Linked DNA regions of Mus musculus. The protein of the gene in region 6 purifies or fractionates together with the protein of the main gene of each other region. This does not show direct contact. Links are inferred from orthologs where the notes say so. Each region holds a gene or a part of one and is shown on either strand. Other genes may lie near its edges.

Evidence for each region.
Region 1: the proteins of Cdkn1b (region 6) and Ccnd3 purify together in Homo sapiens (affinity purification with western blotting; 9 studies listed by BioGRID and IntAct, counting the BioPlex papers as one, with this or other methods). This does not show direct contact. The link is inferred for Mus musculus from reciprocal best matches to the Homo sapiens genes CDKN1B and CCND3.
Region 2: the proteins of Cdkn1b (region 6) and Spdya purify together in Homo sapiens (affinity purification with western blotting; 3 studies listed by BioGRID). This does not show direct contact. The link is inferred for Mus musculus from reciprocal best matches to the Homo sapiens genes CDKN1B and SPDYA.
Region 3: the proteins of Cdkn1b (region 6) and Ccnb1 purify together in Homo sapiens (affinity purification with mass spectrometry; 5 studies listed by BioGRID and IntAct, with this or other methods). This does not show direct contact. The link is inferred for Mus musculus from reciprocal best matches to the Homo sapiens genes CDKN1B and CCNB1.
Region 4: the proteins of Cdkn1b (region 6) and Ccne2 purify together in Homo sapiens (co-immunoprecipitation; 5 studies listed by BioGRID and IntAct, with this or other methods). This does not show direct contact. The link is inferred for Mus musculus from reciprocal best matches to the Homo sapiens genes CDKN1B and CCNE2.
Region 5: the proteins of Cdkn1b (region 6) and Xpo1 purify together in Homo sapiens (affinity purification with western blotting; 4 studies listed by BioGRID). This does not show direct contact. The link is inferred for Mus musculus from reciprocal best matches to the Homo sapiens genes CDKN1B and XPO1.
Region 7: the proteins of Cdkn1b (region 6) and Cdk6 purify together in Homo sapiens (affinity purification with western blotting; 8 studies listed by BioGRID and IntAct, counting the BioPlex papers as one, with this or other methods). This does not show direct contact. The link is inferred for Mus musculus from reciprocal best matches to the Homo sapiens genes CDKN1B and CDK6.

What each region holds. Positions count from the first base shown.
Region 1 is NC_000083.6:47,591,836-47,596,412, reverse strand, and holds the start of Ccnd3 (G1/S-specific cyclin-D3), read right to left. Parts: upstream 2,947-4,577; 5' UTR 2,759-2,946; coding exon 2,561-2,758; intron 2,118-2,560; exon of another isoform or gene 2,088-2,117; coding exon of another isoform or gene 2,034-2,087; exon of another isoform or gene 2,014-2,033; coding exon of another isoform or gene 2,008-2,013; intron 1,680-2,007; coding exon 1,464-1,679; intron 340-1,463; exon of another isoform or gene 198-339; intron 1-197. UniProt on the Homo sapiens protein: Regulatory component of the cyclin D3-CDK4 (DC) complex that phosphorylates and inhibits members of the retinoblastoma (RB) protein family including RB1 and regulates the cell-cycle during G(1)/S transition.
Region 2 is NC_000083.6:71,575,998-71,579,802, forward strand, and holds part of Spdya (speedy protein A), read left to right. Parts: intron 1-2,104; coding exon 2,105-2,396; coding exon of another isoform or gene 2,397-2,407; exon of another isoform or gene 2,408-2,703; intron 2,704-3,805. UniProt on the Homo sapiens protein: Regulates the G1/S phase transition of the cell cycle by binding and activating CDK1 and CDK2.
Region 3 is NC_000079.6:100,778,006-100,780,934, forward strand, and holds the end of Ccnb1 (G2/mitotic-specific cyclin-B1), read right to left. Parts: intron 2,912-2,929; coding exon 2,771-2,911; intron 2,128-2,770; coding exon 2,017-2,127; intron 1,781-2,016; coding exon 1,673-1,780; 3' UTR 734-1,672; downstream 1-733. UniProt on the Homo sapiens protein: Essential for the control of the cell cycle at the G2/M (mitosis) transition.
Region 4 is NC_000070.6:11,190,169-11,194,663, forward strand, and holds the start of Ccne2 (G1/S-specific cyclin-E2), read left to right. Parts: upstream 1-1,540; 5' UTR 1,541-1,647; intron 1,648-2,512; 5' UTR 2,513-2,535; coding exon 2,536-2,549; intron 2,550-2,646; coding exon 2,647-2,743; intron 2,744-2,824; coding exon 2,825-2,878; intron 2,879-3,757; coding exon 3,758-3,909; intron 3,910-4,495. UniProt on the Homo sapiens protein: Essential for the control of the cell cycle at the late G1 and early S phase.
Region 5 is NC_000077.6:23,254,555-23,259,138, forward strand, and holds the start of Xpo1 (exportin-1), read left to right. Parts: upstream 1-1,486; 5' UTR 1,487-1,606; exon of another isoform or gene 1,607-2,089; 5' UTR 2,090-2,163; intron 2,164-4,584. UniProt on the Homo sapiens protein: Mediates the nuclear export of cellular proteins (cargos) bearing a leucine-rich nuclear export signal (NES) and of RNAs.
Region 6 is NC_000072.6:134,918,821-134,923,425, reverse strand, and holds the start of Cdkn1b (cyclin-dependent kinase inhibitor 1B), read right to left. Parts: upstream 3,026-4,605; 5' UTR 2,507-3,025; coding exon 2,032-2,506; intron 1,471-2,031; coding exon 1,352-1,470; 3' UTR 1,343-1,351; intron 1-1,342. UniProt on the Homo sapiens protein: Important regulator of cell cycle progression. Inhibits the kinase activity of CDK2 bound to cyclin A, but has little inhibitory activity on CDK2 bound to SPDYA. Involved in G1 arrest. Potent inhibitor of cyclin E- and cyclin A-CDK2 complexes.
Region 7 is NC_000071.6:3,342,273-3,346,744, forward strand, and holds the start of Cdk6 (cyclin-dependent kinase 6), read left to right. Parts: upstream 1-1,620; 5' UTR 1,621-1,699; intron 1,700-1,846; 5' UTR 1,847-2,094; coding exon 2,095-2,327; intron 2,328-4,472. UniProt on the Homo sapiens protein: Serine/threonine-protein kinase involved in the control of the cell cycle and differentiation; promotes G1/S transition. Phosphorylates pRB/RB1 and NPM1.

The DNA.
Region 1 (4,577 bases), on a different chromosome or scaffold from region 6:
CCTTTCTGGGGCCTCTGCTCTGCTGTGTGGATTTAGACTGCTGGAGTTCTTGGAGTCCCTCACAACTCTGACCGCAGGCCACTCTCAGCTCAGGGCCTCGAGCAGGAGAAGGAGGGCTTTGCCTATTCTGAAAAACTCCCCTCACACACAGCCATGTAGACCACCCTTAATCTCTTCACAAAGAGTAAGTCTCCTACCTCCCAGCCTCAATCCCTCAAAAACATCGTGCTCCCTGGCTCTGGAAACTAGATTCATCACAAAGAGCTGTGGGGCCTCCCGGATTCCCAACTCAGGCCTCCCATCCGTGAGAGCTGCTTGACAGGAAGAGGAATCCAGTTCCCCGACTCACAGCAGTCAGGGGCCCCAGTACCCTAGCTTCCCAGCCAGCCAATCACAGGAGTCTGCCTGCTGCCCTCCTCCCTAGGAGATGGGGCCCAGAGACTCCTCTCAGGGTCAGAGAAGGCTTGGCCAGCCACAGAACAAGGTGGAGGGAGGTGCCAGCTCACCCACCCTCTCCCCCAGACCCTGTGGGAGATGACGTTCAAGCTCCCTTCCAGATCCAAGCAGATCCACCTCCTCCCTAGACTCCTCCGGGGCAGGGCAGAACCCAACCGATTTTTTTTTTTTTTTTTTTTTTTTTTTGCCCCGCCTGGAGGAGCCCAGCCCAAGTTCCCAGCAAGAGGCCCCAAGGAGCCACTTCCCAAACCACAGGAGTGACAGCAGCTCCCCACAGGGTTATGAAAGCCCTTGGTCTGAGTGGGAGGGCCAGGGGACCGGCATCATTATCACATCGGAAGCAGCTGCAGCTCAGCTCCCTGTCTGTCTCGGCTCTGGCCTTTGGCTGAGCAGCAAAGGGAGAAACTCTTCCACGGGCCCAGAGCAGCTGCTCGAGTTTTTCAGAAGGAAGACAAGAAAGGGAGGGTTTAGAAAAGAGCGGTGTCTTCGGGGATAGGAGGGAAAGGGATGAAAACACCTCAGCGCTTCCTTCCAGCGAGCAGGGCCTGGCTTTAATCAGCTCCGGGAGGCTTTTCCATCACAAAGTCCACACGGGGATAAAGGCTCATGCAAGGCAGCCCCCTCCCCCACGTGAAGCACATTCCACTCCGGTGGGGGTGTGCAGACATGCCCTGCTGCTGCCAATAAATAACTCACGGTGGCTGTGTAAACCCAGAGGCAAAGTACTGGTGTATAGACCCGCAATTGGACTTGTTGCTATTGGGGGGGGGGGGGGCGAGTTAGGAGTGGAACCCCACTGCGGCCAGAGGAAAGGGATTCATTTAGTTTTAAGCTTGCAACCGAAGCACCACGACCACACTACAAGGCCTTTGTCCCAAAATACCAGCCAGGGGCGAAGGGAGGGTTGGTGGGTGAGGGAGTGAGCTTGGCTTTTCTTTTACTAGTACATAGGGCGATCGTATGTTTGGTGGAGGGGCGGGGGGGGGGGGGGAGGATTCCGCACGCACCCGCAACTGCCATGGAGCCACAGCCTGGTCCGTATAGATGCAAAGCTTCTCAATAGTCAGGGGCGTGGTTTCGCGCAGCTTGGAGGCCAGCAACAGGCAGACGGTACCTAGAAGCTGCAATTGCGCCTTTCGGGTGGGGACGCAGGACAGGTAGCGATCCAGGTAGTTCATAGCCAGAGGGAAGACATCCTCCTCGCAGCGCTGCTCCTCACACACCTGAGGGAGGGCGCACGAGTCATTGCTAGGGAAGGACCAAGTGAAACACGGCAGCGTGGAGAAGTGGGGGTGGGGGGTGGAGGGAGAGTGGAATGCGAAGCAAAAAATAAACCGAGAAGGGATAAACTTAGAGCGACAAGTATCAATAACCGAGGAGGATGTGCCCTCCCCAAGGTGACCCCCCCACTTCCTCTGCATGGTCTCTTCCCCACCCCGGAGTAGGGGGTGTAAAAGAGAAGCCCATGCTCACGAAGGATTCCAGACTCCCCTCCCCCACGGCGAGCGGAAGGGGGACGGAAGGGTCACCTAGAGAGAATTGGGACCTTACCCTCATTACCGCCACCCACTGCACACACACTCCCAGGGGGAAGGGAGGGAACTCCTGCCGCGGTCTCCCGCACTTTTCATTTCCCTGTGGACCGGAACCGAGCCTGCGCCACCCCCACCCACCAGTTTCCCCCGCCAGAACCCCGCGATAGACACAGGAACCAGTTCTGGGGCTAAGGCGGCCGAGGCCAGGGTTTTCCAAACGCGCCCTCCAGAGAGCACCGGGTGAAGAAGGAAGCAGGAGACACCGAGGAAAGCCACTGGGGAAAGAGTGGCCCTTAGCCCGCTTTCCCGACCCAAAGTGAAGTTTAGTTACAGTGCCAAGTGACTGGAAATCACAGAAGAAGCCGATCAGGATTGGGGAAAGGAAAGGGACAGAACGCAGGCAGCTGCTTAGGGCGCCTGTGTGAAAAGGCCAGGCCCCAGTAGTCTGGGCCGCCAAAGCATCTTGCAGATTGTGGTCGGGATCGCAAAGATCCGACAGGGAAAGTTCAATTTGTCCCAGAGCCGGGGGTGGGGGTGGGGTGAGGAGAGGGGACCCGTTCGGGCCTTACCTCCAGCATCCAGTATGCCAGCATCTTCCGCATGTGCGGCTTGATCTCCTTTTGCACGCACTGGAAGTAGGAGGCTCGCGGCACGTAGCGCTCCTCCAGGCGGAGTAAACTCTGCAGGACACGCTGGTCCCCAAGCAGCCGCGGGTCGGGCCCGGCCCGGGGCGCGTGCCGGGTGCCCTCGCAACACAGCAGCTCCATCCTGCGATGGCTCACGGGTGAGAGCAAGAGTGCGGGTTAGCGAGTCCTAGGAGAAGCGACGCGCGTGAGGGAGAGCGCGGGGTGCGGGCGGGTCTGGCGCTGGCGCTGGCACTGTGCGGAGAAGCCCCAGCCCGCCCGCCACCCGCGCGCACCGCTTCCCTGACAGGCGCCCCGCCCCTCGCGACGATGTAGCAACCGTGGAATGCTCCTACGTCACAACGTTCTAAGGGGCGGGGCCGCAGTCGGAAAGGGCTGGCGGGCGCTATACCCTCCCTCCCTCCCCGCAGCCCCATTGGTCCGCTGGGCTCCGGCCCGCACGCTTCCGGGCCCTCGGGTCCCTTCTGACCAAGAGGGTAGAGAGAACTTTCTGGAAGGGTGCCCTCTTCCCCATCAATGGGCCCCGTCGCGATTCTAGCCACCCAGGAAAGAACTAGGCGCCAAAAGTTATTCCTTCGTGTATACGTCATATTTCATTGCTCTAGGGAATGTGGTCATAACTTTGTACATAGTTGGGTCACTCCTACCCTAAAGTGGCTTCTAGGAATGGCCTCGAGTTGGGCTTTATTTTGCAGACCATGATACTGAGGCACAATAGTAGCTGCAAAGATCTCATTGTTGGTCCGTCGGGAAACTTGACTTAGAATCTCGTCTACTTTAACGAATTGCGCAGATCTGCAGCAGCATCTGGGAGCATGTAGTTTCTGTCCGATTCAATGGCTCAGAGGGTAAACTATCCTGGCATCAAGTCTGGCAACCTGAGTGTGATCCCTGGGACCCACATGATGGAAGAGAAGAGAGCAACTCCCATAAGCTGTCCTCTGACTTCTACACCAAGGCTGTATGTAGCATGTGCGCACACACCTTCATGCACATACACAACGAAAATAAAAAGCAAAAGAAGAAATGCAGTTTCTCAGGTCTGCTGAATGGGACACTGCGTTGCACCAACGGAGGTGTGAGCAGTGTTGGTCAAAATCAGCATATAAAAAGCCATTTGGTGCTGGCTGTGGTGGAGCAAGCCAGTAATCTCAGACCCAGGGAAGTGTTGGCTTAACACCAGGATCCACTATCCACTATACAGACAATTCAAGGCCTGCCTAGAGTCTCTCTCTCTCTCTCTCTCTCTCTCTCCACACACACACACACACACACACACACACACACACACACACACACGGTGGCAGGGGGTGGGCTGCAGATATATCTCAGGTGGTAGAGCTCTTGCTTAGCATGCTCAGAGCCCAGGGCTCAATCCCCAGCACTGCAGAACCCAGAAACGATCAGAAGATTAAGGTCACTGTCTGCTTCCTAATGAGTTCAGGAGCAGCCTGGGCTATATAAGATTTTATCACAAAACCAAGCAAACCAAATGATAATAGCCCATGGAGAATTCCAGGCCAGCCAGACCCATGTCAGATGACTCAAATAACAAGGAAGGAAGGAAGGAAGGAAGGAAGGAAGGAAGGAAGGAAGACAGGCATGACAGAGCACCCCTTTAATCCCAGCACTTTGAAGACAGAGGCAAGCAGATTTCTTTGAGTTCAAAGCCAGCCTAGTCTAAATAAGAGTTCTAGGTCAGGAGGAGCTAATATCATGAGACTATGTCTCAAAAACAAAAATCAAGGGAAAAAAGGATGTAATAAGGAAGGCAGGAAAGAGGAAAGGAGGGAAAGAAAGAAGAAAGCCCACCACTAAGACACTGCTCTCTCTGCTCAGCCCAAGTGAGCCCCAGGAAAGCACAGGACAATATATAAGCAGTGAGATCCATCTACACACTAGTCTACACACTGGACTATGCACTGGTCTACACACTAGTCTA
Region 2 (3,805 bases), on a different chromosome or scaffold from region 6:
ACTTTTTGTATCTTAGATTTTTATAGAAATGTATAGCTTATATACATATATGTACAGCTGACATGAAAAAATACAGCTGGGTATAGTGGCACATGCCTTTAATCCCAGCATGTGGGAGGCAGAGGCAGGTGGATCTCTGTGAGTTTAAGACTAATCCTGGTCTCCAGGCCAGCCAAGGCTACCAAAGAAGATCCTGCCTCAAAATGATGATGATGATGATGATTTTAAAAATAAAAGCACCAAAAATATAAAGGGAACTAATAGGGAGGGTAAGGAGCAAAAAAAGTGAGGGTAGCTCAGGGTGGGGGTACACTTAAATTACATTACTTCTGTCTTAGGGTTTTACTGCTGTGAACAGATACCATGACCAAGGCAACTCTTATAAGGACAACAGTTGATTGGGGCTAGCTTACAGGCTCATTATCATCAAGGCAGGAACATGGCAGCATCCATAGTGCAGAAAGAGCTGACAGTTCTACATCTTCATCTGAAAGCTGCTAGCAAAATACTGACTTCCAGGCAGTTAGGATGAGGGTCTTAAAGCCCATGCCCACAGTGACATACATACCTACTCCAACAAGCACACACCTCCAAATAGTGCCACTCTCTAGGCCAAGCATATTCAAACCATGACATTCCACTCACTGGCCCCCAGCTTGGTCTACAGAGCAAGTTCTAGGACAACCAGAGATACACAGATATGTCTTAAAACGTAACAACAAAAAGAGTTCTTTCTCATCAAAAACATATATAAGTCCTTATACATAGGCTCCTAAAACAGCTTCTCTAATAATGCTGCCTTCCCTTGTCCCTCCCAGGTCCCCAGTATAGCTCTAAAATTTCAGAATTTTTAAACATTTTTAAGAAATCACTAGTTTAGGCAAATAGTATGACTGTTTGGCTTTCATTTTAGGATTATTATAACTTATCACTTACTGTGGATCATTGATAACTACAGCTAAAGACTTTGACTTAAATCTCATTATTTTGGATTTCATAAGGTCAATATATTATACTTTTCCTTATCTTGACTTCTTAAATGGCTATCATTTGCCAGATGCTAATTATGTGGTAAGGATTTTACATGTAATATTGAATCTCAAAACAATATTTGTGGTAGTTAGCAACCCCATTTTATCAATGAAGTAACAGAACCTCAGAAAGGTTAAATAATTTGCTCTGTAGCATATATAGTCAACAAGTGGTAGAACCAGGATAAGAAAGTCTACAACTAAAGCCCACGCTTGATTTAAAAACCTTATGACAATGCCTGACAGGGAGAAATCTTAAGTGCTTTATAAAATGTATCCTTTCCTCACAACTTTCTAAAAGTATACTCTTGTCTCTGTGTAACAAATAAGGAAACTGAAGGACAAAGAAGTTAATCTACATGTTTTTAAAAAATAACACATCCCTTGATATAACTGTAAATATTTTAAGATTAGCCTAACATAGTTAAGAGCCCATTTTTTACCAACACATACAAAAGAATTATATAATGTTTTATACTATATTATTATCTTTTCTAAACTTAGAAATATTTGAAAATTTAAAAATAAATACCCTGCTACGCTCCATTAATCCCAGCAGTCAAAGGCAGAGACTGAGTTTGAAGACAGCCAGGTCTGCATAGAGCACCTTATCTCAAAAACAAACTGACTGACTAAATAAATAGCAACTGAGAAGGTTGCTTCATTTATATTATCTACTTGAACTAATTTAGATACTTTGTCAATATTAATATTAATGATCCAAGAAATCACTCTACAGAAAATGCTGCTATGGATGATTTGATGTTGCTGATTTAAAGTTTGTAACTTAAGTATTTCTATTGTTCTGGGAGGGGCTGTTTTTTGTCTGTTTTGTTGTTGTTGTTGTTTTCCTAAGACAGGATTTCTCTGTGTAGCCCTGGAGCTCAATTCTGTAGACCAGACCAGCCTAGAACTCAGAGATTCACCTGCCTCTCTGTTGAGATGAAAGGTGTACACCACAACAGCCTTTTTCCCCCCTTTTTTTTAGGTAATTTGGCTGTTATTTTACAATTTCTGTACTTTACTCAATTTTAAAATGTTATTAAATTCACAAAGTAACCTTTTCACTATAGGTCATGGCCATTGCGCCAACCCATTACATCTGGCAACGAGAGCGGTCTGTGCATCACAGTGGAGCTGTTAGGAACTACAACAGAGATGAGGTTCACCTGCCCAGGGGACCTAGTGCCACACCAGTGGATTGCTCACTGTGTGGTAAAAAAGGAAGATACGTGAGACTGGGACTGTCTTCATCCTCATCTTCCTCCAGTGACACAGGAGAGCTAATGGAAAAAGATTCTCAGGAACTACACAGTGCATTCTCAGTGGACACGGCAGGTGACCCTCCTCATACCTATTCTCAAGGTATGGCTTAATGGCAGGTAGACTAATGCATGCTCTCTACCTACTAGACCTTACAGGCAGGGATGCATAGTTTACATAACTGCGTTGCATTTGTATTGAAAGTTTTCCCCCTTCAAGTTACCACTTTTTATCCTATCTATACCCATGTTGTGCTAGCCTACACACACTAAAAAGGATTGTAACATATATTAAACTTCACCTCACTATGCTACGAGGTCCAACTATTAAGGCTTGAAGGGTTTCTATGACATGTTTATTTTATTTAAAAATGTTTTCAAGAAAATAAATTTACTTCTAATCACCATCCAACTATTGGTTTCTTCTCTATACTTTTCTATTTCTAACAAAATTAGGCCATATTTTAGCCAGGCTAGCTTTTTTTATTTACTATGAATCATTTTCCTATGTCATTTAGTGTTTGAAAACCTTATTGTGATATGTGTAATTTATTTGCATATATCATTGTTGAGTTCTAAATGATTACTTAGAACAATGATATATTAACTAGAAAATAATTAACCATAAATACAAACTATGCCATAATTTTCAAATTATCTTTATGTGTAGTATTTCCCTGTCATTTTTCTTTGCTAGATTTGAAACAGTACTAAAGTACTCTGCAATGGGATCCTGTTTACTCCTTACAGATTTCCCTCATTTGAAAAACAGATTTCACTAGGCAGTAGTGGCACACACACCTTTAATCTCAGAACTTGAGAGGCAGAGGCAGGAGAATTTCTGAGTTCGAGGCCAGCCTGGTCTGCACAATGAGTTCCAGGACAGCCAGGGCTACAGAGAAATCTTGTCGAAAACAAAACAGAAAAAGAAAAAGGAAAAAAAAAACCCAGATTTTTTTTGTAGACTCTTTTATCATAGAAAAAAAAAAAAAACAGACCTACATCAGTCAGATTTTTACTACTTTATCTTTACCATATTCCTATGAGAAGGACAATGACTACTGAAGTGTCACTAAAAGGGGAACTAAACTCCAGTCCAGTGGCTTCCAACCTTCCTAATGCTGTGACATTGTAACACAGTTCCTCATGTTGTGGTGACTCCCAACCATAAAATTATTTTTGTTATTACTTCATAACTATAATTTTGCTACTGTTATAAATCCTAATATAAATATTTGTGTTTTCTGATGGTTGTTTGGGGGTCATGACCCACAGGTGGAAAACCACTGCTCTAGTCCCTTGGCAGTAGAGCATAGCTCCTGTTCCTTTTACTGGACACAGTATTTGCTTAACAAATTTCACTGGCAGTATAGTCTCTTGCTTTTCAACATCTCCAAGCACATTCTTTTAGTCATACACATATTTGACAATAAATAGGCTAATTATTAACTCAACTATAAAGTGTCATTTGTTCTCCCTCTTCTATCTCCTAGGTTTTTTTTTTTTTTTTTT
Region 3 (2,929 bases), on a different chromosome or scaffold from region 6:
AGATAAAGGGAAATTATCAAAAATCAAAAAAGTAGTTGATTTTTAAAGTGAAAACCCCAGCACGAGGGTAAGGACCCTCAGGATTATACAGTGAAGGCCCAACAAGAGGTTTCTAAGTGCTGGGCGTGGTGGCGCACGCCTTTAATCCCAGCACTCAGGAGGCAGAGGCAGGTGGACTTCTGAGTTTGAGGCCAGCCTGGTCTACAGAGTGAGCTCCAGGACAGCCAGGGCTACAGAGAAACCCTGTCTCGAAAAACCAAAAAAAAAAAAAGTTTCCAAGTAACAAGATACACGCAGATGCACTCGTTAAGCCGTATGTAGCCACAGAAACTCTTAGAACTCAGTTTTAAAAATTCCTATCATGGGCTGGACAATTGGCCCAGTGGTTAAGAGCACTGGCTGTTCTTCCAGAAAACCTGGGTTCAATTCCCAGTAGGCAAATGTCAGTTTATAACTGTAACTCCAGTTCCAGGGGATTGGACATCCTTTTTTGAAAAATATATTAAAAAAGAGAGAGAAAAAAAGAAAAGAAAAAAAAAGTCCTATTATTACAGGGGAATAACACCATTTAGATCAGATATGTACACTTAAAAACCTGGGCTGGATTACAAGGTGTGCACACTTGGGAGTTGGCCGACCTTGGCTGAAAATCGAAAACTATGTTTATTAGCAACATAAAGTCTCCATATTGCAAAGACAACATAAACAGTCAAAAGGGCAAATGAGAATTGTGAAAGCTTTCCACCAATAAATTTTATTCAACTTGATATCAGATGTATAAATTAAAACAGCAAATGAGACAGGATTCTTTTCCAGGTGGCATTACAAGACAGGAGTGGCGCCTTGGTATGGTGGCAGCCACACCCATCTGGCTGTCAGAATTCAAAGCACACCCCTGGAAGAGCTACTATGAATGAAGCCAAGCAAGACATTAAACATCATTTAAGAACACTGTGGAGGGCACTGAGAGAATGCACTTGAATCCCACCGAGGGAATGACTATGTTACACACAGTTTGTTCACACTAGGAAATGCAATATAGGCATTGAAAGGAATGCTGATAGGAATACTGTTGATAAAATGAACCCATATAAAAATATCTCCTTGGGAGTATATGCATGATTATATCTATACAGGATATACAAGAATACACCCTTATCTGTTGATAGTGAGACTTGGGGGCAAATTCTTTTTAAAACACACCTTTAATTTTGAACATCCTATTTTCCAATTAAGAACAAATAAATAATTACATAAAAAAAGATACTTGGTTTCAGATCTGAAAGTTGACAAACCAAGAGACAGTGGTTAAAGGTGGCAACCACTGGAAAATGGAACAAAGGACTAGCTGGTAGATTTAGAGTTTAAACTAGAGTGAGGCAGAAGACATGATGATATAAGGACACACAGTGAAGGATGTATATAGACATATAGGCTACAGATATATACATTAGTTGGATCCACTGTTAAAACTAGATGCAGTTTTTAATATACTCCTAAATTCGACAACTTCCGTTAGCCTAAACTCAGAAGCAACAACATTCAAATGAGTTAAGCTATGTAAAATGAGAAGTCACAACCTTTATTGAAGAGCAAGTAAACACGGTAGGTATCCTATGTACAGGCGGCACATGGTGCCAACTGCATCTGCAGATGTAGCAGTCTATTGGAGTTATGCCTTTGTCACGGCCTTAGACAAATTCTGAACTAGTGTACAGTTCAGCTGTGCCAGCGTGCTGATCTTAGCATGCTTAGATGCTGCATACTTGTTCTTGACAGTCTGTAAGAGAAAAGCACTGCAATCAGGAAGAAGAAAAACATTGCCATTGGGGGTGTGTTGGGGGGGGGGTGGGGAAGAGAAGTAGAAACAATGTAATTATATTTTAACTTAAAAAATGAAATTAAACAACCTTTCTATAGAGTCCTGGCTGGCTCTAAACTCAAAACTTGCCTCTTCCTGCCTTGCATGGTGGGACTATAGGCCATAAACCAGCCTTAAATTTTCAATGGACTCACCATGTGCTTTGTGAGGCCACAGTTCACCATGACTACATTCTTAGCCAGGTGCTGCATAACAGGAAGCAGGGAGTCTTCACTGTAGGATAGGTAGTGCTGCAGAGTTGGTGTCTAAGAGAACAAAAACATGCTTAAAACACCGGCGGCTTTTATAAACTTTAAAAAAAAAAAGATTTATTTATTATTATGTATAAGTACACTGTAGCTGTCTTTAGACACACCAGAAGAGGGCGCCAGTTCTCAGTATGGATGGCTGTGAGCCACCACGTGGTTGCTGGGATTTGAACTCGGGACCTTCGGAAGAGCAGTCAGTCAGTGTGCTCTTACCCACTGAGCCATCTCACCAGCCCTCCTTTTATAAACTTTCTAGATGCTATTTAAGAGTCTGGTGGGTGAACAGTGTGATTACACATGAAACAAGATCTTTTTGCCCACATATACTTCTGGAAGAGCTTGAGCTCTAAGCACAATATTGTAACTGTGGCTTCTCTATCCCAAGGTCAGGGTAGCACCCTGTCCGTACAAGAGAAATGCACCTCCAAGGATGTGGACAGGTTTCTTAGATCACTTGGTGTGGCTTCCTCTCTCCAAAGGGTGTTATCCTAAAGACTGAAGTTAGCTACAGCACTGAGATGGCAGCGCAGCATTTGGGTTACCATTTATGGTCACACTCCTTCCATATTAGGACCCAGGAGAGTGATCTCAACACCAAGTGGTCCGTTCCAATGCTTGGTAGTTTGGTGAGACAGCTTACCCATTCACCGTTGTCAAGAATTTTCAGCGCTAAGCAGAAAGCCCCAGCTGCAATTTGAGAAGGAGCAAAATGCACCATGTCGTAGTCCAGCATGGAGAGCTCCATGAGGTATTTGGCCAAAGTGTGCTGCTCGACGTCAACCTGGAACAGACCACACCA
Region 4 (4,495 bases), on a different chromosome or scaffold from region 6:
GCGGGGCTGTAGGCCATCAGTTTTACTTCCACTCAGATAACACACCTCTGCTTTCTTGCCATAACGGGTTAGATCTCAAGCTGTACAAGACGACAGCTCCAGCAAAGGGAGGTAACTCCCCCCCCCCCCCCCAGTCTTGATAAGCAATTATGGGTTGGGTGAACGCTCCTTAGGCCTAGACAAGGCACTGGGTCTCCTCTGATCCTGTCTACGTGTAAAGCTGGGAAAGTAAGCTTTAGCCGGTGTGAAGGACCATGCGAAGACCCGGGAAGTGTGACGAGGGCCTTCCTGGGCTCTTAACCACAGCGTGGCACAAAAGGCCCACCGCGGCCGGAGGCCTCCAGGTGCATCTCGGGAAGGGCCGGGCCGCGCGGCCGCTGTCCTTGGCGCCCTCGCACCGGCTCACTCCGGACCAGGATGGCTAAGCGCGGGACCGCCGGCCTGCGGGAGCCCTTCCTGCGCTTCCGCGGCCTGGGGGTGGTCTTTGTTCCCCAAGCGGCGTCGCGCCACGGGACTGTGTGTGCCGTGTCACCCGCAAGCCCGGCCTGAGGGTGCGCAGGGCGCCGAGAGGTAGTCGGAGCCCGGGGCTTAGGAGCGGCGCGGGGCGGCCCGCCACGTCCCGGCAGCGCTCGCAGGCGGGAGGCGCTCCCGCGCAGGCAGTTCGCGCGGGCTCCGCAGGGCGCGCTGGCTGCCGGGCAGGGCCGGGGCGGGGCGCGGCGCGGCGCGGCGCGGCCCGGGCGCGCACGTGGTGCGGACCGTCCTGCTCTCCGGCCAGGTCCCCAGAGCCTCGGCGCTCGTGCGTGCGGACGGGGAGGGCGCCCGCTGGAGTCCCGAGAGGTGGTCAGCGCCCGGAACAGGCGTCTGAGGAGAAAGGCAGCGCGCGGCGCCAATATTTCCCGCGCGGGCTCTGGGAGGGAGCCGTAGGCAAGAGCGGAGTGGCCGCTCGGCGGCGCGCGGGGACAAGGCTCCCACGTACCTCGTCCGGCCGCGCTGAGGCACCTTCCTGTGCGCCGCCGCCCGCTCGTCGCCCGGCGGATGGCTCCGGCTCCGCACGTGGCGGGCGGCGCGCTCCGGCGTGTTTACATTCTGCGGCCGCTCCACGTTGTGCTGCCGTCCTCTCCTGCCATTGGCCGGCTCCTCCCGGAGGGGTGGGCCCTAGGCTCCCGCTCCCCGTGCCTCTGAGGAGACTTGGGGTTCCCCACCCCAGCCCTCCCAAGGCCTCTGCCAAAACGCGGAGCCGAACCGTAGCCTGACACTCCGAGATCTAAGAGCCACCGTGAGGGGGCCCGGCGCGAACTGGAAGGCGTGCGGGAGCCTGTGGTGGGCAACCAGCATGGGGGAGGAGCCTCTGAGCCGTGCAGCCGCGGCGCGCGCAGGTGAAGCGCCGAGAGGGGCGGAGGAGCACGGTCCAGGAGGGCAGCCGTACGGCCACTCGGCGCCCGCCCGCCCGCCAGCCCGTCCGCGCGCACTGAGGGCAGGGCGCGGCGCGCGCGGGCGAGCTGGGCGGGCGCGGGTGGGGGAGGGGAAGGCGCCGGCCGAGGTGTCAGTCTGCGGCGCATGCGTGCGGGGCGGTCCGGGCCCGGCCTATATATTGAGTTGGCGCCGGCGCCAGCTGAGCCGAGCTGTGGAGGGTCTGGCGGTGAGGAGGTATTGGGGACAGGGGCATGCGGGAGCTAAGGGAACCACGTCTGGCGGGAGCCATGGGAGAGGAAAAATGGGGGGCGGGGGTGGGACAAGAAGTAGGAGACTGGAATTCAGGGGTTCCCGAGGTTGGTCCCTGTCAGGATTCTTGTCAGGAGGCCAAGCAGAGGCAGGGGATGGAGTGTGTCCCCAAATGAGAGGCCACGGCAAAGCTTCTCTGGGAGCTTCTCTGTCCATCCTCACTTGGGGAAGGTCTCCCGCGCGAGAGGATTAAGGTGGGATCACTTCACGGAGAGATTCTTAAGCACGGTTTTCTCCTTTAATTCCCCCCCCCCTTTCCTTCTGCTCTTCTGGAATTGGGGTCCCGTCACCCCTGCAAGCGACACTGCCCGCCGGGTGGGGCTGGGAAGGAGGGAAAGGAGCCTGGAGGACGTGACACCAGAAGGTTCCCTCCACCCCCTGCTTCCCCGCCACAGCCGCTCTCCAAATTGGCGCGGAACCGGCTTCTCCACAGCCCGCTCTTGGAGGCTCGTCCAGGCGCCTGGCGGCCGAGGCCAGGACGTGCCTTTCCCACCCTGGTTGTCCTGGGGAGTGCATGAATGGCCCAGATGATCATCTAAGGGTGCTAGGGGACTTTGCAAATTCCTGAACGCACTCGCGTTCCCAGTGTACAGTTAAGGAAATGAAAGCATGAATGTAAAATTACTGAGATAGCGAGTGTATTTCAGAAAATAGTGCAGTGTTTTATTTTTAAAGGTTTAGGCCACCTTCTAGTAACGTTAGTTGGTAACTTCTGAATCAGTTTTAATTTGGAACTTGAAGATTATGGATGACTATGTTCTTGATTTTGTTTTTCTTCTCCCCTATTTAGAGGTTTCATAGTCCTTGAAGAGAATGTCAAGACGCAGGTAACAGTGTTAGTCTTGGAGACATGTTTCAAAATTAGCTGCTGCTTTTGAAATATATGACGTACTAATTAAGCTTCCTTTCTACAATTCATCACAGTAGCCGTTTACAAGCTAAGCAACATGCCCAGCCCAACCAGCCAGACTCTCCGCAAGAAACCCAGATAATTCAGGCCAAGAAGAGAAAAACAGCACAGGTGATTTAAGGAAAAAGAGGGAGAAAGGGAAAAATATTCCTTGCTGAAACCTTAGTTTACATGTTCTTTTCTATTCTTCAGGATGTCAAAAAAAGAAAAGAGGAGATCACCAAGAAGCATCAGTATGAGATTAGGGTAATGCAGAACTGGACAGGGTGGGCTGGGGAAGAATAAGAGTGGAATCATGTGTTATTGCCTTATAGTGGGAAGATTCTGATACTTTAGAGGTGAACTTGAAGGAGGTTCATATAAGCCTGAGTCCTACAGCTGCAGTGTAGATGGCTTAGAAGCAGCTGGTTCCCTTTGGTAAATCCCTCCCTTTTGGAGCTGGCTGGTATACTAGGTCTGCCTATATACTGCTCTTTGTTCATTTTCAGACTACAGTGGAGGGCCCTAATAGCTAATGAGTGGCATAAAAAGGATGTGAGATCACTGTCAGTTTGGCAACCCGGCTTTGGGATCCCTTCCTATGTGTTTACTTGGAGATGGTAATTCTTTCAAAAAGATTCTCTAAGTGATTCCACTTGACTAAATTTTTTGATGTTTTCACATTCAAGTATTAGAAAACACGTTAAAAAGAGCTATTTTTTAAAAAAGTATCCTTGCTAGAATTTCTAGATTCAGAGAACTAGTCTTAAAATTATTTCACTTTACATTAAAATGCATGTTATTATTTCAGTACATTAAGTATTGTATTACCTTGTATTACCAGGCTTCGTTATCTAACTTAAGAAGACTAATATGAATTATATGGCTTTAAAAATAAAATACAGGGCTGGGCGTGGTGGCGCATGCCTTTAATCCCAGCACTTGGGAGGCAGAGGCCAGCCTGGTCTACAGAGTGAGTTCCAGGACAGCCAGGGATACACAGAGAAACCCTGTCTCGAAAAAAACAAAACACAAAACAAAAATAAAATACGAACATCAAATTGGCTATCATTTGAAATTGTAGAACAAAAGCCAAGGTTTCTTAATGCACTAACAAGTTTTTCTCTTTCTGTTTTGAAATGACAGAATTGTTGGCCACCTGTACTGTCTGGAGGAATCAGCCCTTGCATTATCATTGAAACACCCCATAAAGAAATAGGAACAAGTGACTTCTCTAGATTTACAAATTACAGATTTAAAAATCTTTTTATTAATCCCTCACCTCTGCCAGATTTAAGGTAAAGAAAATTTTTTAGTAACTTTATGCTAAACATTAAAAGTGGTAGAATTAAAGCAATGCCAGGTATTTTCTTTTGACTTTAATATAAAATATGGAAACTTGATTTTGGGGGGGGGGTTTGTTTGTCTTTTAGTGCTTCACTTACTGAAAGTAAGCATGTATCATTCTACATGAGATATTTGCAAATGATAGCAAGTGATATACTTAAAACCCAAACTTGGGTTTTACTTAACTTGCTTGGTAAATGTTTCTAGACATAGCAGAACTGAACTACTTTTTAAAATGTAGCTTAAATTTGCCTAGTTAAAATTAGAACATTTTTAAATGAACAGTAGTTTCAATTGACAACTCTACTTACTCCTTACCAAGTTTACTATCAGTTGTGATATGATTAAGAAGTAGAGCTTATAGAAAATATTCATATAGTAATTGACATTTGACTTGAATAAGCAAATTAATGGAGGCAGACAAACTATCTCTGTGCCTGATACTTTGTTCCACCTTAAAAATCATTATAAATGATGCTGCTATATTTTCAAATGTTGAAACTTAATTATCACTGTGATCATATACTTATTTTTACA
Region 5 (4,584 bases), on a different chromosome or scaffold from region 6:
TGTTGTGGCACAACAGACCAGTCGATTTTGGTGGACTGCTGGCTGTTTTTCCCCCAGATAGGGTTCTCTTTGTAGTTCTGGCTGTCCTGGAGCTTGCTCTGTAGTCCAGGCTTGTTTGAATTCAAGAGATCTGCCTGCCTCTGCCTCTGTCACCACCACCCAACTGCTGGTTGTTTTAAGCAACCCTAATCAGCAAAACTGACCTGGCACTTGGGAGCCATGGGTTAACCTAGGGGCGTGGCATAATAAGGGCACGCACCAAGTTAAAAGAAGTTGGCACAAAATCTGTCTATACGCATTGTTAAGTTAGCAACAGGATTTTCAATGTGTTAGGACTAATTTTTAGAAATAACTTCTTGTTGAAGCAGTCTGGGGAGAGTTAATTTTTTGTTGTTGTTTTTTTTCGAGACAGGGTTTCTCTGTGTAGCCCTGGCTGTCCTCGAGCTCACTCTGTAGACCAGGCTGGCCTCGAACTCAGAAATCCCTGTCTCTGCCTTCCAAGTGCTGGGATTAAGGGCATGCGCCACCTCTGCCCGGTAGAGAGTTAAATTTTTAAGGAGGCTCGTCCAATAACTAACTAGACAACCGTTTCCAGGCGCCCAAACTGCACGCCCGTTTATGCCAACCTCGGCCCGTGCTATTCACGTTCCCATGCGGTGCCCAAACCCAGGCCTCTACAACGGATCCAAGGCCCAGGGCCTACCATCCGGCACCTATGTGTTCTTTTCGGTCCTTCGCGGCCGTCTATTTCCATGTAGAAACAGGGTGTGCCCTCCCTTTTCCGAGCACAGACCCCATCCTAAGGGCGGATGCTGGGGCCCCAGGACGAGGCCCCTGAGGTTGGCGGGAGCTCGAGGGGGCGGGCCGCCAGGGAACGGGGAGGGGGGGAAAGCAGAAAGACGAGCAACGCGCGCGGCGCTCAAACCCGCGCTGCCTTCTGCTCACGGGCGAACCCCACCCTCTCCGTCACCAAAGGCGCCCAGCCAATGGGCGAGCCGGAAAGGCCGGGCTTACAAGCGAGGGACCGAGAGGGGGAGCCACTCGAGGGGAAAGGGATGTAGAAGGCGGGCTGCACTTGACTGACAGCTCACTCAAGCCAATCCTCTGTGAGGCTTCTCCGCTCTCCTCTTTGCTGGGCTCTGTTCGACGTCCCACCTTCTCTTCCTCCACCCCCCCCTCACTCCTTTGCGTCCCGCCCCGCCTCCCCTCCCCCACTCTGCGGGCAAATCACTGCTGGAAAGAGGCGGGGGCCTAAGCGGCAGGCTCGTGTGGAGCCTTGAGGTGGGATTGACGGGCGCTCCGACCAATAAGAGGTAGGCTGATGGCGCGGCTGTGGCCGGGGCCGACCAATGGGCGCGCGGCCTGGGGGCGGAGGCCCAGGTTCCAAACGCTCCGCGGCGCCATGGGCTGAAAACTCAACCGAGATGGAATCTCCCAGTCTGAACCGGTTTCAACCGGTTCCGAGTTTGAGGCACTAGGAGGAGGGGGAGAAGCGGCTGCAGCGGCCGCGGCAGGAGCAGCGGGAGCTTCAGCATCAGCAAGAGCAACAGTAGCTACAGCCCCGGCGGCCGTGCCTGTTCCAGCCTTTGCTGCAGCAGTCGTGCAACCATCCCGAGGGGGAGGGGGGAGGCACCAGTCGCTGAGGAGCACGCGAAGGGGGGAAAGTTTAGGCTAGCTCGGGTGGGGGGGCCCGGCGCCGGAGCGGCGTGAGCGAGGGAGCCCTGTGTGGTAGGGGGAGCCGGACTGCAACTGGCGGCAGAGCGGCCCCGGCCGTACGGACTCGCGCTGCTGCTCCCGCCGCCGCCTGTGGCTGGAGGGTCCTGGGCTCTGTCTCACGGACTGGCCCGCTCCCCTCCCCCTTCCTTCCCTCCCCAGCCGGGCGGGAGCATTTATTTCTCGGATTAATTCCCCTTTTTGGTGGGGCGCGTGTGTGTGCGTGCGCGCGTGTGTGTGCGTGAGTGTGTGTTGGGTGGAGTTGTCCCTAGAATAGTAAATACTGAGCTTTTTTTTTTTTTTTTGCCCTTCTCTGCTTTTTAATTTCTTTTTTGTTTAAGGTGGGAAAACTGTGAAACCCACCTTGATTTCCTCCCCTCTCCCTCCTCCCCACCTTCCCTCGCCCCAAGCCCGGACAAGGAAGGAAGAAGCAGTTGGTTGAATTTCTGGGTAAGTCGGTCGTGTGCTCGGGGCCGAGGGTCGGGCGGCGGCGGCGCGGCGGGCATGAGGCGAGGCGGGCGGCGGGCGCGGGGCCCTCGGCGGAGCCTGAGATTGAATGGAAGCGCTTCTGTCGCTCGGTGATGGAGGTGGGGAGGCGGCCGCGGGAGGGGAGCGCTTGCTGGGTCATCTTCGTGTGCGGGTGGCGGTGGAGGAAGGCGAGGAGCGTGGTAGTGAGGCTGAGCCCCTGCGCGTGGGTGGAAGGGCTTCCCCAGTCCAAAGGGCTGGGGAGAGTCGGGGGTGATTTCGGGAACGTCTCTGTAAATTATTAGGAGTGGAAGTTTCCAGAAATATTTAGTGCAGCAGCATTGAAACGTCCGCCTGCATCACGTGGCCCCCTCGGTGGAGAGCTTGGGATGGGGGAGGGAGGGGCTACCGAGTCCCTTCTTATGTGAAGAAACTCGAAAGCCTTGTGGGTGATTTTTGTTGTTGTTGGTTTTGTGAGTGTGTGTATAACAAGAAGTAGGAAAGAGGAGTTAATTTCTTTTTTTCGGGGGCCTGCAGTTGGGGTTCCGTGTTGTAGGTTGTTTTCGCCCGGGGCATATATGTCTTGGTGAAACCGTGTACTGCTGGCCGTGGACAGTGAATGATGCCCTCCCTGCTCCTCCTTCTGGTTTCTTGAGTTTGCGGTGTAGGAGAGGAAGTGGTGGTAGAGGATGCACTGAATACTCGCCGAGGCGGGACCTCGGATCACTCAGAGGACATGCTGCATAGAGAATAGGGCGGTGAACTTAGGCGCCGGGTCTAAATGCCTCCTCCGAGTATGGGCGGGGTGAGTGCGTGCTCCTGTGAGCTATAGTTAGAAGTGCTGAGAGTCGTTCGGGTGGGAAGCCAGGGGAGGGCGGTCCCTTCCTAGTGAGGCGTGTGTTTCTTACTGAATGAAGCAGGCGATTGCCCACACACGGAGTAGCAGTCTTTTGTAGCATCTTGTTTTTTGACTCATTGTGAACTTACCTTTTTAGATGGCTACTGGTGGGTAGTGTTTTGCTGCTTGCAGTGCCATTGAAGGTATATGGACAATCACTTGTAGAGTCACAGCATTGTTTGATGGGTTCCTACAGTTCACAATCCAGTGAGTGGAATTTGGGATTGGGGGACACCAACGAGACAGGTGAACCAATCAGAAAGTGAACAATCCCTCCATAGCTGCACTACTTACTGCATGATTCTGTATCTTGAATGTGGGTGTCACGGCTGACGGTGGAATGACTATTTGGAAGCTGTTTGGTTGGGGCTGCTAAATGTGCTTGGCATTGACCACAGAGCCGCCATTTCTGGATTACCTATAGTTGAAGTTGGAAGATAACCGCTAGTTCCGAGAAAGGCCAACAACTGTATTTAAGTATTCTTAGATTGCACCCCTTCCCCCACATGAGTCTAGTATCTGAATTCTTAGAGAAGACCAACTTGAAAATGAAACTTAGGACTTAAGTGTAGGGTCATTTGACTAAACATTTAATCATTACTTTTTTTTTTAAAGAACTATAAATTGAGATAGTGTCTGAGACAAGTTGGTTGCAATTTTTAACCATAAACTCGAAAAATCTGTTTTAATCTGTAAAAGTTATGACACTTGAAGTTATTGGAAAGAATAGTTATTTGTTAGTGGGATTTATTTTTCTTGTATATTAGTGTTCTGTTTTTCCCTTCTTAAGACAGACAGAGTCTCACTGTGTATTCCAGTCTGTGCTTCCATCTCTTCTGGGATTGCATATGTCTTATCTCTTAACACTGGCCTTGGTGTTAATTGTCCTTTCACCTCCCAGGTGCTTTCTTTAATTTTTAATATATAATTTATTTTTACTTTTAGTTTATGTTTTGTTGGTGTTTTGCCTGCATGTATGTCTTTGTGGAGGTGTCAGAAAACCAGAAACCAGAGTTACAGATCAATGTGGGTGCTGGGAATTGAACCAGGGTCCTTTGGAAGCACAGCCACTGAGCTATCTCTCCAGCCCAGTTTGTTTGTTTCTTTTCTTTTTCTTTTTCTTTTTCTTTTTCTTTTTCTTTTTCTTTTTCTTTTCTTTTCTTTTCTTTTCTTTCTTCTTTTTCCGAGACAGGGTTTCTCTGTATAGCCCTGGCTGGCCTGGAACTCAAATCTGTAGACTCAGAAATGCACCTGCCTCTGCCTTCCAAGTGCTGGAATTAAAGGCCTGGGCCACCACTGCCGGGCTCCAGCCCAGTTTCTTTATCTTTACATGAGTGTAAATGTGAGCATATCTACCTATGAAAGAATTTTTGGACTCGTGAGGAGTTTGAGTGGGGAGCACAGATAGGTCTTACTCTGTTGCCTTTGTCTTTTAACAGTAGTATGCCGGGCGGTGGTGGTGCATGCCTTTAACCTGAGTTCCAGAACAGCCAGGTCTATACAGAGAA
Region 6 (4,605 bases):
GACTCTAATGGCCATTTTCCATCTCTGAAAAAATGCTATGTCTGTAGAAGGTATATCATGACTTTATGATTTATAAACACAACAAGCTGGAACCCTGTGCCATCTCTATATTCCTTCATTTATTTTTAAATTTCAATAAATGAGGACCTGAAAAGTTAATAATAAACTGTTAAGATCTATTTGTATGCTGGGTTATAAGTGGGCTTTAGAAATAGAGAATGCTGGTTTTCTTCATAAGGAGCTTATAAACTATTATAAGTAGTTAGAGCATATGAATAGTCAATCTATGTAAATTTAGGGGCTGGGTTACTCTAATTAGGCAAGTGGGGTGATGAGATTTTTGACACATGGAAAAATCCACACTTGTGTTGGACCTTCTCAGTTGGTCCTAACATCTACTATCCATTTCCCCTATAAACATCCAAACCGTCCTGTTCCAGCAAATTAGCATACGGTGCTGACGTGTGGGAAGGCTGCTTCCTCTAGCTGTTCATTTAACTTCTGCTTTGTAACCTCAGGGTTAAAATCAATTCTGTGGGAGCATTAGTACTTCTGAACTTTCCAGTCTAATTTTTTTTTTAAGTATGAAGTTCCTTTCTCTCCAAAATTTACCAGCATACAAGGCACAACTTTAAAAAAAAATAAAAAAGTACCCAGAGGTGATGGCACACAACCTCTAATCTCAGCACTCAGGAGGCAGAGACAATACAGATCTCTGTGAGTTCGAAGCCAGCGTGGTCTACAGAGCAATTCCCAGAATAGCCCGAGCTGTTTGTTACACAGAGAAACCCTATCTCAAAAAACCAAAAACCAAAACAAAAGCAAAAGATAAAAAGAACTCGAGCCACGGCAGCTCTATTCACACTCCTAATCAAACGTGCACTATGGGTACCTAGTTTTTCTCTTAAGAACATACATGTAAGTATATATTTGCCATTTTTCTACAGTTCAAATGGTTCAAAATAGGCTATTGGCTCAAAACGAACCTCTGGGAAATGGGTTCTCATGAACTGAGACTGGAAAGGAAAACTGTCATTCCCAGCCTAAGTTTTAGTGGGATTCATAAGGATACGACCGTCCCTATCCTTTGGGGCCTTGGTGGCAAGTTCTTGCTTGGGAACCTCATTCTGATTCCACTTTAAGGTAAATATCTTGGGGTGCAAATACTGCATTATAGTCCCCTCAAGTGATTCCAGCCTTCCCCAGTGTTAATTTTTTTGATCAAGGAAAGTAATTCCTCCTGGCAGGCAACTAATCTGCCAGCAGTCCTGGGGTCTGCAGGCCCCCCGGGGAGCGCAGCCCAGATGGGGTGTCAGTTTTGTGTTCTTCCTCATTAACCCACCGGAGCTGTTTACGTCTGGCGTCGAAGGCCGGGCTTCTTGGGCGTCTGCTCCACAGTGCCAGCGTTCGGGGAACCGTCTGAAACATTTTCTTCTGTTCTGTTGGCCCTTTTGTTTTGCGAAGAAGAATCTAAGAGGGGGGCAAGGGGAAATTTTTAAGAGAACACACACAAACCATCTTTATTATCGACAACAATGGCTGACAGAAGTAGGCCCAAGGGATGAACAACCCACTCACTACCTCCACCCACGACCCCTGGACCCGTCATCCCCGGTAGCATCTAAGGACACAAAATAAGGTTGTTCCCACTAACACAAGGAGTATTCTACACCCCACGTCTCTTCCCCACCCCCATCCCCACCCCCACCCCCCCACCCCAGCCAAGGAGGAGGCAGTTGGTAAACATCCGAACTTTTGTCACGTATCTACAGCTGGCTAGAGGGGAGGAACTGTGATGCGTTCGGCTACGGAAGTTATCACATCTTACTATCTCCGGCTTCTGACTTCAAAATCATAAACAGGGCAAGCAGTCGGATAGGGGGTATGTCAAACCTAAGCTTCAAACAAGTTCGATTTCCCAGAGCTAAAGCAGAACACGCTGGAGAAAGCAAGTGAACAGGGTCTAGTAAAGGGGCGCTTACGGAGACAGACAGACAGACAGACATTTTAAGTTTTCCAAAGAGTCACTACCTTCTGCAGCAGGTCGCTTCCTCATCCCTGGACACTGCTCCGCTAACCCAGCCGGATTGTCTGACGAGTCAGGCATTTGGTCCACCAAATGCCGGTCCTCAGAGTTTGCCTGAGACCCAATTAAAGGCACCGCCTGGCGGCTCCCGCTGACATCCTGGCTCTCCTGCGCCAGCACCTTGCAGGCGCTCTTGGGGGGGCGCGGGGGCCTGTAGTAGAACTCGGGCAAGCTGCCCCTCTCCACCTCCTGCCACTCGTATCTGCCCTCCAGGGGCTTATGATTCTGAAAGTCGAAATTCCACTTGCGCTGACTCGCTTCTTCCATATCCCGGCAGTGCTTCTCCAAGTCCCGGGTTAGTTCTTCATGATTGACCGGGCCGAAGAGATTTCTGCAGGCGGAAGGCTTGGGGTGCTCCGCTTGTCTGGCGTCCATCCGCTCCAGGCTCGGGCTCCCGTTAGACACTCTCACGTTTGACATCTTCCTCCTCGGGCGGGTGTGGACCACCGCCTCGCCTCTCTCCGGAAAAAAAAAAATGAAATAAACAACAAAACCGAACAAAAGCGAAACGCCACGGATGGAGCGCAAAACCCTCTTCGAAGTTCTGCGACTGCACACAGACAGTCAAATGGAGCAGAGCCAGGCGAGCGACCGCCCGAGCCGCAGTAGCGCGCAGGTCTGGGGAAGAGAGGCGCAGGGACACCCCAGCCGCCGCGCAGCTCGAGGCTTCAGTGATCAAGTGTACTGGAGGGCGGGGAAGGGAGGGGAGGAGGCAGGAGGAGGTGGCAAACAGTCGGAGCGTAGGCTGGGGCGAGCCCGTGTGTCCCGCGAACGCAGCCCCTCTCCAAACCTTGCCGCCGCGCGAGTCTCGGAGCCGCGAGTGAGTCGGGACAAGGGATGAGGGGGGAAAACACCCCAAAAGCACGAGCCCCCCTCCTTTTTTAGTTGCCCAATATGGCGGTGGAAGGGAGGCTGACGAAGAAGAAGATGATTGACACTGCAAGTCTATTTAAACAGAGGAGGAGCTCCATTGGTCTCGGCGCCGGGAGCCGCTCCGCCCAGGCTGGCGAGCGCGCTCTTAAGGTGGCCCCGGGCGCGGCGCCGCCGCCTCTCCGCGCTCCCGAGCGCGCCGCCTCCCCGTAGCGCCGCCAGGACATTGGCTGGTCGCGTGACTACTCGGAGGTGTACGACTGCCAACAAACCTGCTCTGGCTGGCCCCGGAGAAATTAAAAATAAGACAAACAAACTAGCCAAACGGCCGGAGAGCTGGGGAGGGGCCAGCGCGGCGGCCAGGCAGGGACCCGGGGATCTAGGTCCCGGCGCTGCAGAGCTGCGCTGGCAGGCGCGTCACCGCTCCCGACTGCGACCTCCAGGTCTTTGCCCGCGAAACCTAGGGCCTGGACCAGTGGGCTCCTAGGTCGCTGGCGGCTTATTAGGAGCTTCGGTGGCTAGTTCAGCCCACCTGCATTCGCCGAGGTGGGAATGGAGGAGGGTATGCGAGAGATTCAGGAAACCTTGGCTCAGGGCCTGGGGCAGCCCACCCACCCCCACCCGGCAGGGTGCCTTAGCTGGGGTGCGGAATCGGCCGCTTAGCCTGACCCCAGAAGTCTCTGCTATGTAGGACAGGCCAGGAGGTGGTTTCAAAAAGAAGCCAGGACTGACCGCTCTTATCAGGGTGTTTCTGAATCCAAGCGCTTCCACCGTAGGATCTCGAGATTGAAAACCCCCAGTGCTCTCCCAAGCCTCTCTTTAGAGCCGTCCCAGACAGAAATCAGAAAAAGCCAGTTCTGATTTTCTTGGTTCCTAAGCACAGTGAAAGCCATTGCTATAGCGTGTGGGAACTCGCCTTTATACCCTTATGTTCTTTCCCGGGCGAAGCCGTTCCCTCCACCTGAGTCCAGACGCCAACTACAACAGTGCCTTCCTTCTCTTTTTTCTCCCACCAGCCTGTTGCTTCCAACCTACTCAGTACAATATTCAAATACAAGCAAATACTTTTAGAGAGCTGCAGGTTGTTAAAGGGCGAAAACACTTTCCTAAGGATCTAAGACTAGATTTGCAAGTGATTTATAATACCACCACCACGGTATTACCAACATCTAGTAATGTTGGGTGGGTTTTTTTCAGCTCCTTGGGCAACTTCACATTTCTCTATCACTGCTGAGCACAGTGACAGAAGTTAAAACAGAATAGCCAGGCCTGTCGTATCTCAGAGTTCAGTGAGATTTTAAGGGCTTTGCCCACTAGTATTCCCAAACAGTCTTGGTTTGCGCTAAACACAAAACATGTTACAGGAAATTAAATTTCTGGTTTAGTGTCCCAAAGAAGCATGGTTTTCCTATCTTCCTCTGGTGTAGGTGAGACTGAATATTGACTTGTTTTCTTAGCCACATCTTTGCCAGGATGTGTGTGTGTGTGTGTGTGTGTGTGTGTGCGCGCGCGCGCGCGCACGTGCACGTGTGTGTGTGTGTGTGTGTGTGTGTGTGTGTGTGTGTGTGTGTGCCTTGCCTCCTGCATTCAAAATGTAACAGTCCAGAAAGTTCTTAGATAGGTTTAGCCTCTTTTTACCAATGAGGAAA
Region 7 (4,472 bases), on a different chromosome or scaffold from region 6:
GCACACGCGCGGGTCGGGGTCCCGCGGGCGGCCTCCCCTTACTGCGCTGGTGGCGACCCTTGCGGCGTTTGGCAAGGCTTCGGGAGAGGCTCATGAAGGATTTCATTGAGTGCTAAGACAGAGATCAGAGACAGAAAGCAGAAGGAGGCGGCTGCAGCCTTTGTAGTCGCGGAGGAATGCGGAAATGTTGAAGCGCTATGTCAAACTTTTTTGAAATGGGGTCAAGTCACATTCAGCCAGCGTGGGAAAGCAACAACAACTACGAAAAAGTGGAGGAGGGGAGGGGGCTAGGCACCGCCGCTCCGGTCCGGGGGGTGTAGGCCCGCGGGGGTGGGACGGCTGCCCCCTCCTGGAGCCTAGGCTGGACACCGGCAGAGGGGGAGGGCGGGCGCCAAGGCCGTTGCTCCCGCTACCTGTGTGGCCCTCGACCTGGCTCGGACCCCCGGGTGAGGGCTGGAGGGTCCTTTCCGCAGCTTTTTAGGAAAGCTCTCAAAGGAACGGGGAGTGGCCCTGCCTTGGCCGGGCGGTGCTATGCTGGCATCCAGTGGGGGTCGCTCCATGTGTTCTTTAATACCAGGCAGAAGAGCGTGGTGGTGGGGGGGATGGGTACGGGGCAGGTAAACGCATGCAGACCGTTCCGGACACGCGGCTGTGGTGGAACAAGGTCCAGCCCAGACTAAGGCCGCTGTGGGACGGGAAGGCTCACTCGGTCATCCCTAAACAACAGAACGGGGAGGGGGCGCCCGACCGCGCGCGTGGGACCTAGCCTCTGGCCTTTGGAGAACAGAGCGACTGTCTCAGCTACCGACATTCAGCCGCCCAGGATACCGGGCGGGGATTCGGAAGTCTCGACACAAGGGCAGCCCCTTCTCACACCGGGGAGACCTACGTTTACTGCCCCCTACCCCCACCGTCGTAAGGGCGGTTGCTTTTGCACGGCTTGAAAACTTAAGGACCAGTCCCGATTAGCTAGCAAAGTCCCGAAGTTACTTTTTCAGGACAGGACGAGTGAAAGTGTGACGTACCTTCCTTTCCCACATCCTTCGGATCTTTGTGTTTGTGTATGTGTGAGGTGGGGAGCACGACACTACTCCCCTTCCAGGACCCCTCGCTCTCCCACCTCTAGTAGCCCCAGCCCTCCCCTACCAGATGGTCTGTCCTCGCTGAGTTTCCACCAGGGAGGTCCTCCGAATCGGAGGCAGAATTTCGTCTCCCACTAAGCTTGCCATACCCCAAAGACCATTTGTGAGAGCGAGTCCCTTTCAAATGTCTCCCTGTAGAAAAACTGAAAGTAGAAAAGAAAGGAAGCAATTTCCGAGCAGATGTCTGACCACCCCTACTCGCATACTCGCAGCATCGGGTTACAGGGTTCTAGGAGCCCCAACCCCGTTCTGCGGCCCCACGTGGGTGAACCCCCGGTGCTTTTACGCCAGCTTCCGAACTCCCCCAGGTCGCCCCATACCCTGCACGACCAGGCCCCTGGAGTCAGGGAGGGCAGCGGAGAACAATAATATAGGTATAAATATTGAGCCGTGACATTGACGCGCCCGGCGCCTCCCCTCCCCCGCGCTCCGGGCACACTCTGGGCTGCTCGGCACGCCCCCTCTCGTCCCGCTGCGTCCCGCGCTGCGCTCATCCCCGAGGGGCCCCAGCAACCTCTCCTTCGTGAAGACTGCACGAGCCCTGCTGTGGAAGAAAAGTAACTTGGTTTTTCTCCGAGAAACCCGGCCCGATTAGGCAACCAGTGCGAGTAGAGGGAGGAGGAGAGGAGCTGGTGGAACCCTGTGGAAGTCTCCCGGGCAGTCTGATCACACTTTCTCCTTGTCCTCCGGTCTCCTCCTCCTAGGTGCAGAGATTGTGGGCAGACTATGTAATCGCTGCGGAGGGGGAAGAGGAGGGATCGGCGCTCTCCTGCGGCGGCGGCGCGGCGACTCGGCTAGGCGGAGTTTCGCAGCGGCTGCGCCCGGCTTGCACCCGCGGGCGAGAAGGTCGGTCCGTCTAGCCCGGCGGCCGCGAGTCCGACTCCCCGAGGCGTGTAAGGCAGCGAGTGAGCACCCCGGTTCCACTGTGCCGCACCCGCAGCCTGAAGCCAGCATGGAGAAGGACAGCCTGAGTCGCGCCGATCAGCAGTATGAGTGCGTGGCGGAGATCGGCGAAGGCGCCTATGGGAAGGTGTTCAAGGCCCGCGACCTGAAGAACGGCGGCCGCTTCGTGGCTCTGAAGCGCGTGCGAGTGCAGACCAGTGAGGAGGGCATGCCGCTCTCCACCATCCGCGAGGTGGCGGTGCTGAGGCACCTGGAGACCTTCGAGCACCCCAACGTGGTCAGGTGAGCCGGGAGCCCTGGCTATGGGGTCCGGGAAGGTGCTGGGCAAGGGGCGGCTGGTGGCCCAACTAAAGTTAAGAGTTGAGTTTCCCCAGATAAAACCGGTGACTCTGTTAGACAGGGCAGAAAAAGAGACCTGCGGTGGCTTCCGGGCAGCCAAGCTATTCTGAAGAGCTTTCGCTCTGCGTGCCCCAAGGGTTCCGGGGGGGCGTTGGGTGTCTTTTAGGGACAAAACCAGACAATCCCTCCAGCCCTTACTTAACTTTCCCCGTCGGTGGGGGGATTTTTGAGAGACAGAGTGAGATAGTTATCCAGCTTGCAGATAATTAGAAGGAAACTTTAAGGGTGGAGCATAATGTAAATAAAGTTTAAGAAATGTGTAAGAATGTGTTTGCCAATCAAACCCACAGTGGTGACTTTTTTTTTATAGTTGTAGAATGGTTTCTGATGGTCTTAGAAGTTCAGAAGTTTAGACTCTGACACCTAGTGTTAAACATTGTTTGAAAAATGTCTTTCAAGGCTGGGTACTGGGAACACTGAACCAGGAAGATCCAGAGTTCAAGACCCTCCTGAGCTACAAAAGACCCTGTCTGAGAAAAGAAAGGGAGGGAGAGTGGGTGGTAGGGTGGAGGGCGATTGCTTCTCAAAGGGTTTTCTGATTGTATCATTTAGTATCTGTGGACTGGTATGATCTGACTTAGAATGCCTCTCTCATTGGTTAGATGTGAGTCTGTGCTTTAGATTTTAAAGCCTCTGTTTTCCCTGGAAGAGTTGTGCAGGTGGGTGGGGGAGGCATTCCTAACCCAGTCTCCTGTGACTGAAGATAATGGTGTTTTCTCGAAGATGCTGGGATTTCCCCATTGTGCCTTTTCTCATTCTCTTTTTTTAAACAGATGCATAGCTGGAAGTTAAAAGGGAATGCACAGACTTTTCTACAAATTAGGTGATGAGTTAACATTCTCAGCTCTTCTTTTTAGAGGGATGATCTTGGCGTCTTCATCCTGTCTTCTCATTCCTGTAGGGATTCCTTACAACAAATATGTGCCTACTGTATGCCCTGGGATGAAGTTATGTAAATAAGAACAGCTAAATATTTTTGTAAAAGGCAAACAATGTAACATTAGTCATCAAAAAGGAGCGACCCGAGACTGACCTTTGAAATACCAAGCCCTCTAGGACTCAGAGTCTACAGAATCTTCCTGGGAGGTGGTTGTTAAAGGGCTTTTAACTCCTCTACTAGGCTGGGTGTTCGTTTTGTTTTTTGTTTTTTGTTTTTTTTTCTGTTTATTTATTTGTTTGTTTGTCTTTTGGTGGGGTTGGGTTTTTTGTTTTTGTTTTGTTTTTGTTTTTGTTTTTTGCTAGCACTTTGTTCCCAATATAATCAGACTCACAAGTGAATCATACTACATAAATAAGTAAAAAGCCAATGTAAATAAAGGGCCGCCATTATACCTATGCTTTAGTTGGGTGGCAGGGGTATGTGGGGTGCAACAGCAAAAGATAATGAGACGAGGGAGAATGAGTCTTCTAGAAAGTCAGGTTTTACTAAAAGTGGATTACTGTCTGTCTGTCTGTCTGTCTGTCTGTGTCTTGCACTTCAGAGAGGTCTGTGATCCTGAAAGTTGCCTGCTGGCTCAGAGTCATTCACTACCCTAGAGGATCACTATAGCTGTAGGAAAGGATGACTTTCAACATTAGAATTTAATATCAAATTTCGTTTGTCTGTTACCTGTGGGGTGTCCAGATAAAAGGTAATAATCATATATGTAAATAAAAAGTAGCATTCCTCCAAACAAACACCCTTGTATAACCAATCATTGAGTGCAGTTCAATACAAGTCCCTGTAACAGAAGAGTTTTGGCTAGCTCGCTCACCCTGTTCTCCTGTTTTATCCTCCTGTGACTGGTGTGTCTCTAGATGGTTTTTAGTTGATCCCACAGTGGGATTTTGAATTGTGAGTTCAGGAGCATCTGCTTATATGCAAAAAGAAGATGCGCTTTCTAAATTTATTTTACCTCGTTTGACACCTGCCTACTTAGAGTTGTGAGGATAAAGCAAGAGCATAGGTGAAAATCCTCTAAATTTAAAGCCACCTCAGGCACTGGATATGTCAGAGATAATCAGATCCTTGGCCTAGAACAGGTCCCC